3 linked regions of the Drosophila melanogaster genome follow. The protein of the gene in region 3 purifies or fractionates together with the protein of the main gene of each other region. This does not show direct contact. Each region holds a gene or a part of one and is shown on either strand. Other genes may lie near its edges. The genes, in order: CG8578, Rich and Rab6.

The links.
Region 1: the proteins of Rab6 (region 3) and CG8578 purify together in Drosophila melanogaster (affinity purification with western blotting; one study listed by BioGRID). This does not show direct contact.
Region 2: the proteins of Rab6 (region 3) and Rich purify together in Drosophila melanogaster (affinity purification with western blotting, with the first as the bait; one study listed by BioGRID). This does not show direct contact.

Annotation. Positions count from the first base shown.
Region 1 is NC_004354.4:15,842,525-15,848,485, reverse strand, and holds CG8578 (uncharacterized protein), read right to left. Parts: upstream 4,011-5,961; 5' UTR 3,955-4,010; intron 3,850-3,954; exon of another isoform or gene 3,814-3,849; intron 3,160-3,813; 5' UTR 3,105-3,159; coding exon 3,018-3,104; intron 2,845-3,017; coding exon 2,560-2,844; intron 2,503-2,559; coding exon 2,139-2,502; intron 2,078-2,138; coding exon 1,919-2,077; intron 1,530-1,918; coding exon 1,345-1,529; intron 1,284-1,344; coding exon 1,173-1,283; 3' UTR 628-1,172; downstream 1-627. Other genes in the region: sun (stunted), read left to right, coding at 482-507; ArgRS (Arginyl-tRNA synthetase), read left to right, coding at 4,405-4,446, 4,505-4,633, 4,697-5,043, 5,102-5,431, 5,495-5,961.
Region 2 is NT_037436.4:22,257,122-22,264,835, forward strand, and holds Rich (RIC1 homolog), read right to left. Parts: upstream 5,801-7,714; 5' UTR 5,633-5,800; intron 5,576-5,632; 5' UTR 5,558-5,575; coding exon 3,503-5,557; intron 3,253-3,502; coding exon 1,018-3,252; 3' UTR 628-1,017; downstream 1-627. Other genes in the region: Ddx1 (Dead-box-1), read left to right, coding at 6,362-6,377, 6,432-6,483, 6,537-7,714.
Region 3 is NT_033779.5:12,106,684-12,110,711, forward strand, and holds Rab6 (Rab6), read right to left. Parts: upstream 2,434-4,028; 5' UTR 2,117-2,433; coding exon 1,490-2,116; 3' UTR 538-1,489; downstream 1-537. Other genes in the region: ThrRS (Threonyl-tRNA synthetase), read left to right, coding at 1-79; Phae1 (phaedra 1), read left to right, coding at 2,960-3,772. UniProt on the Drosophila melanogaster protein: Protein transport. Regulator of membrane traffic from the Golgi apparatus towards the endoplasmic reticulum (ER). Mediates membrane trafficking during egg chamber growth and organization, possibly upstream of exocyst component Sec5.

The sequences.
Region 1 (5,961 bases), on a different chromosome or scaffold from region 3:
AATTTCAAAATTTTCGTAACTTATTGGAATATCGAAACAAAATTAGGCAAAATTGCTTACCATTCCTTCAAGACAAACGCTCCATAAAGTAATAGAATTTATGTTTCATATTGCGTCATATTTGAATATATTTTTCAGATGAAAGGGCTTAGGTGTTCCATCGTCAAATTAATAATTTAAAAACTGGCGTAAGTGCCTGCCGCGGCAGACAAAACCCAAATTATCCCAGCGTTCGCATTAAACTCAACGACAGTTTATGTATCTAACTTTGTTCCCAAAGTTTCTAACTACGCTTACAAGCTGATCTGCATGCAAATGCGATGTGTTTACATATAATATAATGTTTATATTAATATACATATATATATCCCAAAATTGCCCGCCCCAAAAGTTTACAAGCGACCAACTATTAACTATTTCTTTGTGATGAAAAACTATTATCCAAAGCAAATGCTGATTATTGCCATTTTTCTGTCCGCAGAGCGTCAAACCCAATCGGAATCCTAGATGCTTTTCAGTGGCCACTCGAGAATGATTCGCAACAACTAAGATCCGCCGAAGCTGCAATGTTGTAAAATCATGAAAAATAAATAAAATTAAATAAATGTAATTTATTTAAACACGATGATTTTAATTGTTCTTAAATGTGGCATTTATTTGGGCGTTCCGTTTAGAGATCGCGACCGATGAAACGGACTTCTAGCAAAGATTTAAATATAGACTCAATAGAATATTGTAATTTTGAAAAGAACTATTGGTCAGGTTCACCAGAAGCCTTTTAATTGGGATCAGTGATAGGTTTCTTGCTATAATTTTGTCAACGCATATTTGTATAGAATGATTTTATACACATAATGCTGAACCAATTGAATTGTTACTTATATTTTGCGCTTTAAATATACACATATAGACATTATTTATGTTAATTATTATCCAGTTAGTTTATATTTTAATTTAAATATATATATATATATATTTTTAAGGTAGAGTATTTTGGATTATCCTTCAAAAATTATCGATTTGCTACCACTAAGACCGATTAAATTGCTACCGAAGTGCTATTTCAATTGCAGCATGTTGATTTGTGTGTTGATGATGTCGTGTACTTGCGTTTCCTATGTCATCGGGTGCGATCCTTCAATGGTTGGCGAGATTGCATTTCCCATCTTAGATCATAAGTCCTTTAGAATGGCACTCTTTGCGTTTTTCAACTTATCGAGGCGTTTCAACAAATGGTTGTTGGACGTTTCAGCTTCCTCCAACTTCTCCAAGAGTTCCCGGTGCTGCGAAATGGATTAGCTAGATCATAAACTGCTCATTTCGCTTGGCATTCCCACCACTCACCTCGCGTTGCAGCTTGCGGCGCTCCAGCTTCAGCTCAGCCTCCGCCTTTTCGGCAGCTTCTGCGGTGCTTTTGTATCGGATTACTTGAGTTTCGGAGCGCGCTAGGCTCGACTGTAGGTTGGCGATTTCCTGTTCCGCCTTTTGCAGCTTATATTTATGGTCTGAAATGATTTTGTTTGTTTCCCCTGTCGGATAGTATAAGAAAAAGGAAGGGCTCGTAATATAGTACAAATATGTTGCAGTCCTATAGTGCCAAACTGCAATAGTTATATACAATTTATTGTTTTAAAAAACTGAAGATATATGGAGATACACAAAAGTGCGAGAGAATGTGGCCGATCAATGCGATCGGAAATATAAATGATATATATATATATATATATTGCTTGAAGCCATGTTATCAAATAATAAAAACTACAAATAATACGATTTGAATATCGTTCAAATTTGAGCAAGACTCGGTTAGTTATTGTGTGCTGCCAAAAAGGGCTGCTAGTTATAAAAAAGATAATCACTGCGGTGCACTTTACATGCTGAAAGTTTAGTTGGCATTAAGTAAGTATGGTACACGTACGTTGGGCCTCGTAATCATTCTCATCGCCGAAGGAACCTTGCGAAAGACTGCGGCGTCCGGAAATTCCATCACTTTTATACTCGTCAAGTTGTTCGTGAAGCTTCTGCACCTCCGCCAGCAGCCGCTGCTTCTCGTCACTGAACTTTTTAAGTCTAACGTCTGCAAAGAACTCGAACTGTTGTTAAATGATCTCATCCAGGTGCAAATGGGGGATAATCACCTAAAGAACCCTGCACGGAGGCCAGCACCTTGGCATTCTCGACACTCACTAGAGCTCGCTTGGCATCGCTGCCATCGGCATTTTCAACTGCTACAATTAGAAGGCCCTGTTCGGCGATCAACGAGTCGCGCTCGTTTAACTGCCCTTGTACTAGCTTAAGCTCGAGATTGGCGCGATCCAGGTTGCGTTTGAGGGCATTGCAGTCACGCATCTTCTCCTTGAACTCGCGCTGTAGTTGTGCATACGACTCTTCCATTATTTCGCATTTGTCCTTCAGTAGCTTGACTTCGTAGGCCTGCGAGGCGCGATCGTTGTCCAACTGGGCGTTCGTTATCATGGCTTTGCGAAACCGCTCCTCAACATCCTGAAAGCAGAACCACTTAAATCACATCGAAGTGATGGCTGCGATGTCAGCACCCACCTTAAGCTCGTGCTTGAAGTCGCGAAAACTTCTGCCCTCCTCCTCCACGGAGTCCTCACTGCTGCGGCGGGATGCTGATGCACGGGTCACGTTTAACAGTCCGCCGTAGGCGAGGCGCACGGGATGCGCCGACAGAGTTTCGCTGCCCACTGCCGTGGAGTTTTGCATGTCGAAGACCCGGTCGGCGGTGATCTCCTGCTCTTTCTGCTGCCGCTCCAGCTCCCTCATGCGAATCTCGCGGGCTTCGGCGCGCGCCTGTCGACGCGCAGCAAGTCGCGCTTCCGCCTGAAAAGAAGGGAATCAGTTTCATTTAAATCAACTAATTGATAGAGTTTCAATTATGCGACCCTTTGCGGCTGTAATTCTCTTGTGTTAACCGAGCACGTACAAATCGCAGTTGATAGTAACAATTTTAATATTTACATTGAATGCTATGTTTTGGGATGTAAAATACACACCTCTTTCGTAATTTGATCCAGCGCATTGTCTTCGGCATTGATTCGCATGTTGTTCCGTCGCCGACCTGTGGTGCTGATACTTTCCATTGAATCTGTGCTCAATTTAACTATATTTTATATATTAATCGCAAGCGATCGCACGCTAAAAAGAAGCAACTTGTTAGTTTCAAGTCTATAAGAATGCACTAAGAATTCAGTTTCGATTTGAACCCATTGAAAGTGATAACAAGGATCATATTGCGATAATTCCAAAGAAAAGTCCATTGAATTCAGCCACTAACTTATAAATAAATATAATAATTGCAGAGACAGCATTTCTGGTGCTGCTCTTTCGGTGTCCAGCTCGTTGAAACCTCCTATATTGGTAAACATTTTGGAATGTCCTAATTGATGATCGTGTGTGGTATGATAATGGATACCTTATCATCGGAACGCACTTTGTTATCTAGCAGAGCTGACTCACTTATATAAAAACCGGTGAATATATAGTCCCATTGTCACCAAGCAAGCGAACATGCAGATAAAATGCGTATCAGATGATGAAAATAAAGTAAACTTTTTTTTTGCATTGCGCTGCATAATGGTTTTTTCTTTTTTAACTTTTACAAATTCCCCATCGACACTTGGCAATTTGGTGGCACAGATGCAAGAAAACTAGTTTATCTCCTGTTTATAAATAGGATGTATCCGTCCGTCGTTCCCGGTGAATATGTTTTTATCCACTATTTATATTTGTAAAACAAAAAAAAACCGTCTGCATTGCAGTTTTAATTTTAATGGGAGCGGCGTTACACACATCTGTTTTCCCAAGTTTTCACGCACGTATCTTTCGGGGACTGTGTGTAGCACACATCAAAGAGTTTAGGTTGCGGCCCCACTAGACTATAGGTATTTACACAAAGGTGACAAAATCTATAAATTAATTAAACACACATACACATAAAAAGTTTTAAGAGACACCTTAAGCGAAAGAACAATCACAATTAATCATAATAGAGGTGGTCGATAAGTCGATCTATCGATAAAAATCATAAGTGCTATGTGAACCCGATGCGATTTTTCCACCGCACACAGCTGACATTTATCTAAGCAATGCTCTCAAATGTGCCATAAAAAGCCTGCCATACATACCGACATCTACAATTTTAGAGGTGATTTTAAAATGCACACACAATACAATTTGTCTGTTGCATAGTTTAACTGTCAAATGAGAAAATCTTTTAAATGCCAGTGGGAAAAACGACATCCTAGAAGTGACTGTGAGGCGTGACATCACCAGCTGTTATCGTTATCGATAGGCGACGTGTGCACACTACTTGCCATCCATGTGGCATCGTTGTGTTGTTGTTATTAATCAGCGGAGCAACAGAAGTCACAATTTGGAAACATGTCCGAGCTAAATATGGAGCTGAAAAAACTCAGGGAGCTGGTAAGCGAATAGCTGTTACTTTACGCCAACATTTTGACATGACATGCCGGCTTTAAAGGAACTGAAGACCCAAGGCCTTGCCGCCAGAATACAAACTGCCAAAAGCGGTGAACAGTTGGACGTCGATCTTGTTCAGCTTCAAATTGAAAATAAGAAGCTGAAGAACCGCCTGTTTATCCTAAAGAAGGTGAGTTTATGACCCCCAATGTGTTTAAGCTTAAGAATTTCATGTCTTTTATTTCCCTGTTAGTCCATTGCTGAGGAATCAACTGCCGCCGGCGGCGACGTTTCGAAGCCCAAGGAATCCTCTTCGATCACCGAACACCTGGAAAGCGTCTTTCGCCAGGCGATTGCATCAGCTTTCCCGGAATTCAGAGATACGCCTGTTATAATTGCACCAGTTAATAGTACGTCTGCGAAATTCGGCGACTATCAGTGCAACAATGCCATGGGATTGTCCAAGAAGCTGAAAGAGAAGGGCATTAATAAAGCACCACGTGATATTGCAACCGAGTTGAAAGGACACTGCCCAGCATCACCAATCATTGAAAAGCTGGAAATTGCCGGAGCTGGCTTCGTAAACGTGTTCCTTAGCAAGTGAGTGGCATAAGTACACAAAGTCCATTATAAACATTAAAAATGTTAATTTTTGCAGAGATTATGCATCTTTAGCCTTAAGCAATCTATTGCGTAACGGTGTCAAGCCGCCAGAAGTGATCAAAAAGCGAGTCCTGGTCGACTTTTCATCGCCCAACATTGCCAAACAGATGCATGTCGGTCACTTGCGGTCCACGATCATTGGCGAGTCGTTATGCCGCTTGCTGGAGTTCCTGCAGCACGATGTGATCCGCATCAACCACCTGGGTGACTGGGGAACACAGTTTGGCATGCTGATTGCCCATTTGGAAGATCGTTTCCCCAACTACCTAAATGAAAGCCCTCCGATCAGTGATCTGCAATTGTTCTACAAGGAATCCAAGAAGCGGTAAGACTTGTAACATTACGAAGTAATTACGATGTGCTCGAGGTAAATAATACTTCCTTGCAGATTCGATGAAGATGAGGAGTTCAAAAAACGTGCCTACAGTCGAGTGGTTTCATTGCAGAAAGGTGTGCCGAACTCCATTAAGGCGTGGGAGCTAATTTGCAATGTGTCGCGAAAGGAGTTCCAAACGATCTACGAACGATTAGATATTAGCGTCAAGGAACGGGGGGAATCGTTCTACCAATCACGTATGCTGTCCGTTGTGGAATACTTGCGAGGCAAGGGTCTGCTGGAAGTGGATGAAGGACGCGAGATCATGTGGCCAGACGATACGAAAACTGGCATACCTCTGACAATCGTGAAATCGGATGGCGGCTTTACCTATGATACCTCTGACATGGCAGCCATTCGCCATCGCTTGGAGGAGGAGCTTTGCGATTGGATCATCTATGTGGTCGACTCCGGCCAAAGCACGCATTTTAATACCATATTCAAAGCTGCCGAACGATCTGCTATCCTAAATCCACTCA
Region 2 (7,714 bases), on a different chromosome or scaffold from region 3:
TAGGGCCCTCTTCAGAATTATTTATTATTATTTTCCTGAGTGTATCTAGTAGAAGTGTGCATGTGAGTTTCGAGCGTTGTGAATTGGCAATCCGGTAACTTGGAGGAAAACTTCAAAAGCGCAGCACAACACGGACACAAACTCGACTGGGAGGGACAGCACTTCGGCGTTGGCACCATCCTAACTACCACCTGCATTACCAAATCAAGCAGGGCACGTAATGAATCAGTCACAGCGATTAACTTTTACAGCAGCAGCGGGCGAACAAATTACAACCGACGTTGTCGCAGAGTCAACCTGCCGCCAGGTCACAATAGTCGCAGAGGGTGAATGGCATGGCCTTTGATCCCTAGAAAATCAAGGAAACTTGAAAATACGAACTATTTCCGGTTTCCTGCACCAGCTGACAGATGCCAATGTAGATATTGAATGAATTAATGTTGGCCTATCACAAAGCCGTACGAAAGAATTTGGCAATTGATTTTCACTTCTTGTTCTCTTTCGAATAAAAACAATTTCCTTCTATTTTTTATTTTATTCGTAGTGGTTTTCAGGTTCATCGCAGTAAAATTAATCAGTTCGAATTGACACCTGAACGAGCTGCTTAAGAATACAAGGGTGGTAATTGTTAAATGGTTTCATTTATTAGTAAAAATATAATTGTATTTGATTTGTATATTTAAGTATATTGTTTGTATAATTTTAATTAACAAATATTGCAGCAAATTTCATCTACTAAATTATGGATTACGTTGCGTATGCTTCATACGGTTTTACGGTTTGTTTTGTTTAGCCGGCGACGCTTCGTTGTCTGCGTGTGAGTTTCCATCCGGTTGTTTCTCTAACCCTGTGTGAGTGTGTACGCCGGCTTACAATTAACAAAAAATTTTAACAACGAGCTACAGCAACAAAACGCTTCACCCCACGGACCTACAAAAAAAGTACGTATCTGCGTCTTTGCGCTGAGTATGTGGAGTACGGATTACGCCTCTCGCATTACGGATTACGGCTAACGGCTTACATGAGGCGACAGCCCTCCCGCTCGCGGCTGTTCTGCCGTGACAGTTGGCGCTGGGTGGGCGTTGAATGGGCAGAGGAACCGCTGGCCACCACTGCGTTCCCGTTAGACTCTAGACTGGCGTGCCGCGTGAGCCGCTGGTGATTCGGGTTAAGGTCCGCCACAGTCCATTGGTTTCCGTTAGCCTGCTGGGAATTTGGAACAAATTCGCCCACTTCGTTCTGCAGTCCCTGGAGTCCCGTGCTGACGTCCACGCCCTGCTCGGTACCCGGGCCGGCATCTTGGAGCTGCGAACAGGGAGCATCCCCCAGAGACTGTATGTACTGTTCTAGCAGGTAAACATGCGGTTGCAAGGTGAGGACGAACCCCCGGTACAAAGATCCGCTGTGTTCAAAGGTGCTCTGACTTAACTGTTTGAGTGCAGATTCCGTACGTCGACAGGTGTGAACCGATTCGCTTCGGATTATTCCGTTTACAATCCGCGAGATGGAAGCCGCGTCCTGGAGCAAAATGGAAAGAACCAGCGCGTAGTCCGTGCAGTTCGCCTCGATAAACAGCTGTAACAAGTAACGCAGCTTAATGGACAGCTTCTGAGGCAGAATATCCACGGCTAGGTCGTCCTCTGATGTCGGTAGCGAGTACAGCCGGCGGTAGCGAAAGTTATCGAACGACAGTTGCGATCCAGACCGCGTCTTAAGTATTGGTAGGGAGCTAGGCTGCTGCAGTTCTTCCTCCTCTTCCCTAATGCTTGGCTGCAGCTGTGGCGACTGTGTTGCGGCTCCATTGGGCGTGGCCAAGCTAAAATAGCCAGACTCTGACGTTTGCGAAGATCCACCGCCTCCTGTCTGTCGAAGACTGCCGCGTATCTGAGCAAAGTCGTCCTTTGCCGCAGTCGGAAATGGAATGGGGAGATCTAGTTCTTCGTGTAGCGCCTGCAGAGCGCCGGCGAAATCATCCAACTTGGCTGCCCGCTCTGATTCCTGCGAAAGCCAGCTGACAAGGTGAAAGTCCAGATAAGCACACATGTAGCCTAAATCCATTAGTTTGTGGTTCTGAAGTAGTTGTCGAGCATGGCGCTGCAGTATCAGATCGATGCAGAACGTCTCTCGCTGCTTAGTCGACCGCCGGCGCACCACCGAGGGTGCTCCTGCACTGCTGCTTTCGGTCACAGGTGCAACCCCAGGAGTCCCAGATGCCTGCTTATCTTTGGGCAGATTGCTAGTCACCGTGGTGGAGAAGCTTCTCTCTCTGGCAATGGGACCCAGAACCATGTTAAAGGCATCCGCATTCTGGTTCACTTGCTGCTGTGTATTCACCTGGGGAGGAGGAGCAATTTTCACATTCACCACCATCGACGACCGCGGTGAGTCGATCTCATTTGGATCTATAGCCTTTAAAAACCGGATCAAGTCCTTAGCCAGCTCCCACTTTCGCTGCTGTAGAGCAATGTCCAGCAGCATGGTGGCATATTGCTTGCTAACAACAGAGGGTTCTAGATTCTGCAGGATTATCAAGTAGCTCGCAGCCGTGTCCAGCTGCTCCGACTGCAGACACATCTGGAATAAATCCTTCGGTTTACCAGCCATCGAAAATAGGTACGGCCACAGGGCGATCTCTGTTTTGCGGGCACATTGAACAATTGTTTCCAAGTAGACGGGAAACTCTCTTATAAAGTCCAGAATACTGGGCAGCTGTGCATCCGGGATGGGCTGTTTGCTAGTAGCCTCTTCCTCGAGAACCTCGTGTAGAAGCAGTTCCAGAGCGTGCGGAAAATATGGTAGCGAGCAACACGACTGTGCCATTTCCCAGGCAGAGTAGCCCAAATTCCGCTTGATCAGTTGGCGAAGTACCTTGTGCAGATAGATCTGCGACTTGCGTTCCATAACGGCGAACGGCAGAGAGAAGTGGGAGACCTGCTCATTGGCGTAAAGCGTGCTTTCGTTCTCCACCCCCAGAACGATCACATTGTCAAAGAGCACGACGAGCGGATAAAGTTTCAGCGGAAAGCTCAGCATGATTCGCTTTGACATAAAACTGTGCAGACGTTGGGCGCCGCCCTGCTCGCCTTCGCGACGCTCCCTTCCCGGCGGCAGTATTGGAAGCCATACGCGCATTCCGTGGGCACCGGAGTAAAGCCAAAGGCAGTCACGCATCGCACAGCGTTCCAGGGAGTGTGACAGCCAGAAGACCTCAACGCAGCTAGCCAGGCAGGTGGCCAGCAAGGTGTTTGGGACCTATTTGGTAAACATAGATTTTGACTTTAGTTGCTATATGATATATCGTAATAATTGTCCGCGAAGTTGAAAAGATGCATACTCAAATTCCTTGTTATGGTTGGCTCGATAACCAAAGACATTTCCAAATAGAAGACATGCTGACGTTCGCTTTACTTTGAGATAACGGTAAATTCACATATGAAATGTATAAATGATTTGCATCTCTCCAACTTTAAGCATTTCGACAATTAATATTTTTCAAACATACCTGTTCGCCGGCATCGCGCTGTATCATCAATATGCGGCCGCATACATTCACGATGATAGTCTCTGCCTGATCTCCACCCAGCTGTCCCTGGGGCTTTAGCTCATTCTTGAGGTTAGTCACAGTCAGACTAACAATGCAGGCAGGATGGATGCAAATGCTCTTCACGTCCAATTCATAGGCGCATTCAATATCCAGGGCGTACGCTGAGTTTTTCGACATATTGAACAGGCTCACTATTCCATCGGCAGTGAGTACAATCAACTGGTGTCGGAATGAGTTCAGGCTAATAACTGGTGCTCGGACCTGCAGCTTGTGCCCGTATTGGTTGTCGAGTTTGCAATCTGCCGGATAGCAACGCAACTCATCCGTGCGGTCTAGAAGCGAATAGCAGCCCATGACTACAAAGCCATGCCACCACAGTAGGCCGCCAGAGACAACGAAGTCCTTCTCCTGCGACTCATTGCCAAAAAGCTTCCAGCGCCGGGTCACTAGGGAGTAGTGCGCCAGTCCAGTGCGACCAGCCACCGCCAAGTGGAGTCCATCGGGATCGATAGCAGCATATCGGATTGGCCAGTTTGTGGCCGCGTAGTTGAGCGGCAGCTGCAACACTGTCCAATACTTACTCTCCGTAAGAATGCTGCCTGTGTGCGGGCTTTGTTTTAACTCCAGACAGTCGCCATCACCGGAAATGTCTTCGTCAGAGCCCAGGCCGCTTGATGGAAACGTTCCATGGCTTCCGGCATACGTTAGCTCCAGATTATTGCCCTGGTTAAGGTACAGGCAGTCGTCACCCTGCAGCAGGATGTGCGGACTAGTCGTCATGCAGGGATTCATACTCAGAGCGCTCTTCACAAACTGCAGCTGAAGCACATTACTTTTGTCTTTTTCCGGATGCAGTTTTAGCATAAAAAGCTGATAACCCTCGGTTGACCATTCGAGCCGACGGATCTTGAGTGGATTTTGACAAACCAAATCTACGTTAAGGCCGAAATCCCAGCTCAGAGTAGACATTAACAATGCTCCGAATGTGCTCCATAGGGACAAGCCTCCATTTGTCCAACTCACAGCAAGGACGCAGCCGTCAGGGCTCCACTTTAGCTCGTTTACTGAACCCAGGCTGTCTGGGAGTATGTTTTCCGTGAGGATAAGTCGATGAGAAAACTCTAGTCCCCCGGTGGCATCATCAATTGCGTACACCTTCACCGCCGAGCTCTCTTGACCATATGCCAACAGTCGAAATTTGTGATTGACACTGCAGACACTCGCATCCTCAACATCCGGCACCCAGAAGCCGTGCATGTGATCGGTCTCAAATCTTAGATGGTTGGCAATCAGGAAGGCGGCTCGTCGGTCACTGAAGACGGCTGCACAGCCACCGATGAACGGCGAGTATTCCAGAGAAGCTACGTACGAGTCCCTGTTCAAGGGCGGCACATTGCGCGCGGACTGCTGAGGCTGCTGCTGGACGTAGAAGGGAATGTCGCGCAGCTTAATTGAAGATAGGGCTGGCAACTCTAGGTCGTTCTCTGCGTGCTCCAGTTCGGTCCACTGCAGACGCAGCAGTTCGCAGGACTGGGTGGCCAAGAGTAATTCGCTGAGGCTAATGCAGCACACAGTGGTGATGACGGAGCCCAAGGTGACGCTACACAGTTCGCGAAGGCTCAGCCGGGGTATGTTTTCCTTGATAAACAGCTCGGCGGAGTCGCGTTTGAGGCTCGCGGCGGGCGGATCTATCTGCTGCAGGATTCCCATGCCGTTGGCTTCGAAGTCCAGTTGGTACAACAACAGGGAGCCGGACGCGGTAAGCAGGGCAAGCTGCCGAGAGTCCGGCTTCCACACGATCAGCTGGTTGGCCCCGTACTGGCGAAGGGAGTCCTCCGTCCGCCGGAAATAAGCAATGGGAATGAGTGGATTCGCGTACCAGATGCCCAGAAAGTCGTCGCCCACGGCGGCCACAAGTATTTTCACCGCGTCGCAGCAGATGTGCCGGATGCTGGCGCTCTCGCCGGGCAGCGCCAGGCCCACCCGCTTGGGCCAGCCCACTGGATAGTACATCCTCCGTGTGAAAAGTTACTGCGCAAACGGAAAAGTTCATTAGCAAGAGCGGGAGTGCGGAAAAACGAATTCAACCTGCGGTCTGGTGCGGGTGCATTTAGCTTATGTGGGTTACGCCCAGTTTTACATGATCTGCCCCGATCAATTAGCACTTTTAGACAACATTCCACAGCACAACAAAAAATCTGAGCGATTTTACGCGTATACAAATATGAGTGTTGGCCAGCGTTCCAAAATCACAGCTGTTTGCCAATCGCCGTTTCGCACCACTGATTTTAAGAAGGCAACAGTGATGTCAGGCTAGCTTTTCTGCACCCATCAGCTGTTTCTTAAAAAATCGACAAGTGAATGCATTTTGGGTTACTTCTATTTTCGGCTATACGAGCCTTCTTATCGTTTTAAATTCATCTTTTAAACAATAATTAAATAAATACATTATGATTAGATCACGAACTAAATGTTCTACCCTTCATAGTTTTATCTCATAAAGTCAAGTAACATTGGCATTTATCCTATTCCAGTATAGTCAAGTAAAGTTACCAACAACTAATGAGTGTTGTTAAAAAGGAATTCCCGAAGATATTTTTTATGTTCAAACCCTTCATTCAAAATAAAGTTATTAAATACTTCAATTCATTGACCTGCGCAAGCTTACAACACTAAAAAGTTCCCGAATTTCGAGTCCGCGATCTAGTTCACCAACAACCACTGTCAATTCGAACTAATTCAACGCATCTCGAACTAAATAAATCAACCGGCTTTCGAGAGGCAGAACAAAAAGGAGATTTGTGAAGTATTCTCAAAATGACTGCATTCGAAGGTAAGTGAAAATTAATATTTAAGGTGTGCATTGCTTATTTGACTTGCCTCGCAGAGTTTGGCGTGCTTCCGGAGCTGGGAATGGCCACAGACGAATTGGACTGGACGTAAGAAAAAACAGTTCTGTCTGCCTATTGCCTTCACATTTATGAATTTTCAGCCTGCCCACCGATGTCCAGGCTGAGGCCATTCCTCTGATCCTGGGTGGCGGCGATGTACTGATGGCCGCCGAAACTGGTTCCGGAAAAACGGGTGCCTTCTGCCTCCCCATTCTGCAAATCGTGTGGGAGACCTTGCGTGATCTGGAGGAGGGGAAGGCTGGCAAGGGCGGTGCAATTGGAGGAGCTGTGACTCCGTGGACCATGTCCTTCTTCGACCGAGGAAACGCGCTTGCCGTCACTCCTGATGGTCTGCGTTGCCAGTCGCGGGAGTTCAAGGAGTGGCACGGGTGTCGGGCCACCACTGGCGTTCGCGGAAAGGGCAAGTTCTACTTTGAGGCCACGGTAACGGACGAGGGACTGTGTCGTGTGGGCTGGTCTACACAGCAGGCAAACCTCGATTTGGGCACCTGTCGCATGGGCTTTGGATTCGGCGGCACCGGCAAGAAGTCCAACAACCGCCAGTTTGATGACTACGGTGAGGCATTCGGCAAGGCAGATGTCATCGGCTGCCTGCTCGATTTGAAAAACCAGGAAGTGAGCTTCACCAAGAATGGCCAGAACCTGGGCGTAGCCTTCCGCCTGCCGGACAACCTTGCCAAGGAGACCTTTTACCCGGCGGTGGTGCTGAAGAACGCCGAAATGCAGTTTAACTTTGGAAAGACTGACTTCAAGTATGCCCCGGGTAACGGGTTCGTTGGCGCTTGCCAGGCTGGACCCGAGCATAGCAAGGCCAATCCGATAACCGGTCCCGCAGCTGGAGCACCGTCCGCCAAACCGGCGCCTAACGCCCCTCAGGCCATTATCATGGAGCCCAGCAGAGAATTGGCCGAGCAAACCTACAACCAGATCGAGAAGTTTAAATACCACCTGAGCAACCCAGAGGTTCGCTCCCTGCTGCTTATCGGTGGAGTGAGGTTGGAAGAGCAAAAGGCGCAGCTGATGCAGGGCACTCACATAGTGGTGGGCACGCCCGGGCGGCTGGAGGAGATGATCAACAGTGGACTGGTCCTGCTCACCCATTGCCGCTTTTTTGTTCTGGATGAGGCTGACGCACTTCTGAAGCAGGGTTACACCGAGCTGATTGACCGTCTACACAAACAAATTCCGAAGATCACATCGGATGGTCGCCGTCTGCAGATGGTCGTCTGCTCGGCCACGTTGCATGCATTTGAGGTGA
Region 3 (4,028 bases):
CGAGGTCTCCGTGGCGGAACTCATCACAAAGCTGCAAAAGATTCGCGACGAATTCATCGCCAACGAGGACAGCTTCTAAGACTCTATTTCGAACTATTTATCAAAAGTATACTTAACATTTGCATAGCAAAGCAAGTACGCATTTTTGTTCTTTCTATGTATTTACGCTTACGAAACCGGAATTCACAAATAAAAAACCAAATCCAAACACATTTTAAGGTGTTTCAAATAGAAGAGAAGAGCATGCAATCAAATAAAAGCAATTCGATTCAATATACGATTATTAAGCTTCCCCAACTAAAAATCGTATTTTTCTGATCCACCTTAAGCCGCCTATTTCACTCCAGTTTCTTGACGAATCAGTGGAATTTGTCAGCAATTGAGGACTAGTCATGCCGACACAGAGGTGCGCTGTAGTCCATTCAGGAACGATTTGGAATGATAAGATAAGTCGGCCCACATTTGGCGGAAAACTTTTTGGGAAAGGTGTGCGTGCACCCACAACGTATGAGTCATGTTTTGAATTTATTTTTTTGTATTAATTTATTGCTAGTATCTTGTATACTTTTCATTTTCATAATTTGATTTATTAAAAATTGCATCAATAGTTTATGTTTTTATTCAATTATCAATTTTGTAAGCTTTTGCTTTTCGCGTAAAAAATGCACAAAGTTCTCTCGCTAATCGAAGCAAAAATCGTTAATAATATTGTTAAGTGTTTGCTCTGCTCGTGCTCTGCTTATCTGTTTCAGTTTTAGTCATAAAAATACATATTTTATATTTGTGTATATTTATTCATAAGATGCACGTGGCCAAGTCCTATGCCATCCACAGTTCCAGTTAGCAGTCGCGTTCGCTGTGCTAAAAAAAAAACCGAAATCCTAACCAAAACTGGCGAAACAAAAGCCGCAAACAGAACAGAACGGGGGCTAAAATTGGAAACAAAATGCCTGGCTGGTGGAATCATTGAACACAGACTGGCTGCGTGGTATCTACGACTGCTGGAGATGCCGAGAGCTGGAATGTCGGAGGATCCTGGGACCGCCTGGCCTGACATAAGTACATGGTCTTGGGTTTTTTTTCGTTTAGAGGGTTTAGGGGGTATCGGAAATGCACTACACTATATTCTTGTCTGGTAGCTAACTCGCAAATATTACTCTGATCTTGATCCCTGATCTCGTGTCAATGAGTTAGCATTCGCACTCGCCTGCGCTCGGGATTAGCTCGTCAATTAACAGTAATTAGTTAGCCGATTTCGTTAATTGTTGTTTAGTCTATTTGCCTTTGCTATCATTTGTTACTTTATAAATAAACTTAAACGTAAAGTGTGTATGTGTGTATAGATGTTGAGGAATCCGCCGCAGATCCGGCCAGTACATACACCTGACACCTGTGTACACCAGTGCTGCTGGCCGATCTCCTGCATCTGCATCTGCTCCTGCTGTTGAAAAAGGGGGAGAGGATGGTTGGATCGTCGGCTCAACCGGTTCTAGCAGGCGCAGCCGCCCTCGGGATCCTTTGTCTCGTTGGGTGAGTCCTTTAGCACAACCTCCTGCATGTCCTCGGAGGGCTTGTTCTCCGTGGAATCCATGCCGGGCAGTGCCGCGGCCACCCGTCGGAACAATTGCTTCACATTGTAGCCGGCCTTGGCGCTTGTCTCGATGAACATCACGTTAAGCTCCTTCGCCTTGCGCTCACCCTCCTCGGTGGACACCTGACGCTTGTCGGAGAGATCCGTCTTGTTGCCCACCAGCATGATGATGACGTCGCTACCCCGCTCCGTGCGCACGTCATCGATCCACTTGGAGGTCTGGTGGAACGAGTTGGTGTTGGTGATATCGTAAACGACCACTGCCACCGTGGAGTCGCGTATGTACGAGGGTATCAGCGAGCGGAATCGCTCCTGTCCCGCCGTATCCCACAGCTGCAGGCGCACAGTGCGATCCTCCAGGTACATGGTCTTCGATAGGAAATCAATTCCGATCGTCGCCTGGTACGTGTTGTCGAAGCTGTCGTACATGAAGCGCGTAATCAGCGAGGTCTTGCCCACACTCTGCTCGCCGAGGAAGACGAGCTTGAACTTCCGCAGCGGATTGCCAAAATCTCCGGATGACATCTTCCTCAACGTACGTGTCTACTTTTTCTTAATTACGGGTTTGCTGAACTCTCTTCTCGCTCCGCTCCGCTCTCACCAATCTCCACCCCTCCTCACTGTTTATAATGGGGCTGGGCCAGCGGTTTTCGGGGCCCTTTCGCACTGCGATTTCTCGGGATGCACCGCTTTCAAGTTGCCGCACTCTATTACACACGCTCTAAATGCTTTCCGTCTGGCTAAAGACTCAATTGCGGCTCGAATGGCTTGGTAAATCGCTAGGTTGAGTCGTGGAAAAATTACGGTCTCTGCTTCTTCTTCTTTAACTTCTGAGTCAGTTGCTGTGTGACCAGAGTGGCAATCAAAAGCAATTTCTCTGCCACGCTATCGATAAACGCATATTTGTACTAAATCGATGTTTTATGATTTAAAAAAAAATCGATTGATATTCGTTACCGTTATTAAATAATTTTAACTAAAATTTACCTGCTTAAAATGTTTAAATACTGATGAAGTACAAGGTAATTGCTTAACTTTTTATTTCATATTAAAAAGTGAATACTAAGTGTAAGAAATACTAACAGGTGATAACGCGATTTTCAAATATAAAGCTCTCTAAAGTGATTTGCTTGTTTTTAGATAAACGAGCGTAGGTATTTGCCCATCCTATCGGTGGAACTTGACGTACTTCTGTCAAAGAGTCACTGTTCGGGCGTCGCTTAATCTCAAATTATAATAAGTGGTTATCTGAAGAACACACGGTCCTTAATTGAAAGCCTTATCTGCTGGCGCTGGCAAAATTTTGGAATGGCGAATTAATTTAAACGTGCCGCGATAAAGGTCGATGTAAACAGTTCCGCGAAAACTATGTTAGCGAACGGACAGCAAACAAAGTCGTTGGCCAGTGGGCTTCTTCTCCTACTGGGCATATGCCGAATATCCGGAGTGGCTATCGGCGCACCCGAGGGGCGTGTCGTGGGTGGATCTCCGGCAGCGGTGAATAGTGCTCCCTATGCGGTGTCCATGCAGTACGGTGGCACCCATTACTGTGCCGCCAGCATTCTGAATGCCAACTGGCTAGTCACCGCTGCCCACTGCCTGACCAATAGTAACCAGGTGCTGGGCAGCACCTTGGTGGCCGGAAGCATCGCGGTGGACGGAACTGCAAGCACTACGCAGACGCGGAGCATCACGTACTTCGTGATCAATGACTTGTACACCGGCGGAACTGTGCCCTATGACATCGGAATGATCTACACGCCCACCGCCTTCGTTTGGAGCGCCGCCGTTGCCCCAGTGACGCTACCATCCTCGGGAGTGGTGCCCACTGGCACCGCCAATCTGTACGGATGGGGCAGCACTAGCACCACGAATACCGCCTCCTATCCGTCGACCCTGCAGGTGGCCACCAATGTGCCTATCATTTCGCTGAGCTCCTGCGAAAGCGCCCTGGGCACCAAGGGCAGCGATGTCCACTCGACCAATCTGTGCACTGGTCCTCTAACTGGCGGCGTTAGCATTTGCACCTCGGATTCGGGCGGACCACTGGTCCAGGGCAATGTCCTTATTGGCATCGTGTCCTGGGGCAAGTTACCTTGTGGTCAGGCCAACTCACCGTCGGTTTACGTGCAGGTCTCGTCGTTTATATCGTGGATATCGGCTAACCAGCAGGTGTCCTAAATAGTCGAGTTTTTCCCTATTTTTTCAATAAAAGCAATCAAATGTGTGTCCCTAGTGGCGGTCACTTAAATGTGGGACTTTCCTTCGCATCACAGCTACTATATCAAACAACGAGCTGTTTTTTAAAGTTTATCTTATCTCGTAAAGAGAGAGGAACACGGTGAGCAACCAACGAACAGATTTATATGCTTCACATATTTTCGGGCTGTAAATAACAATTTCTTACATTGCACAATAACAGAATAACGAACCGAAT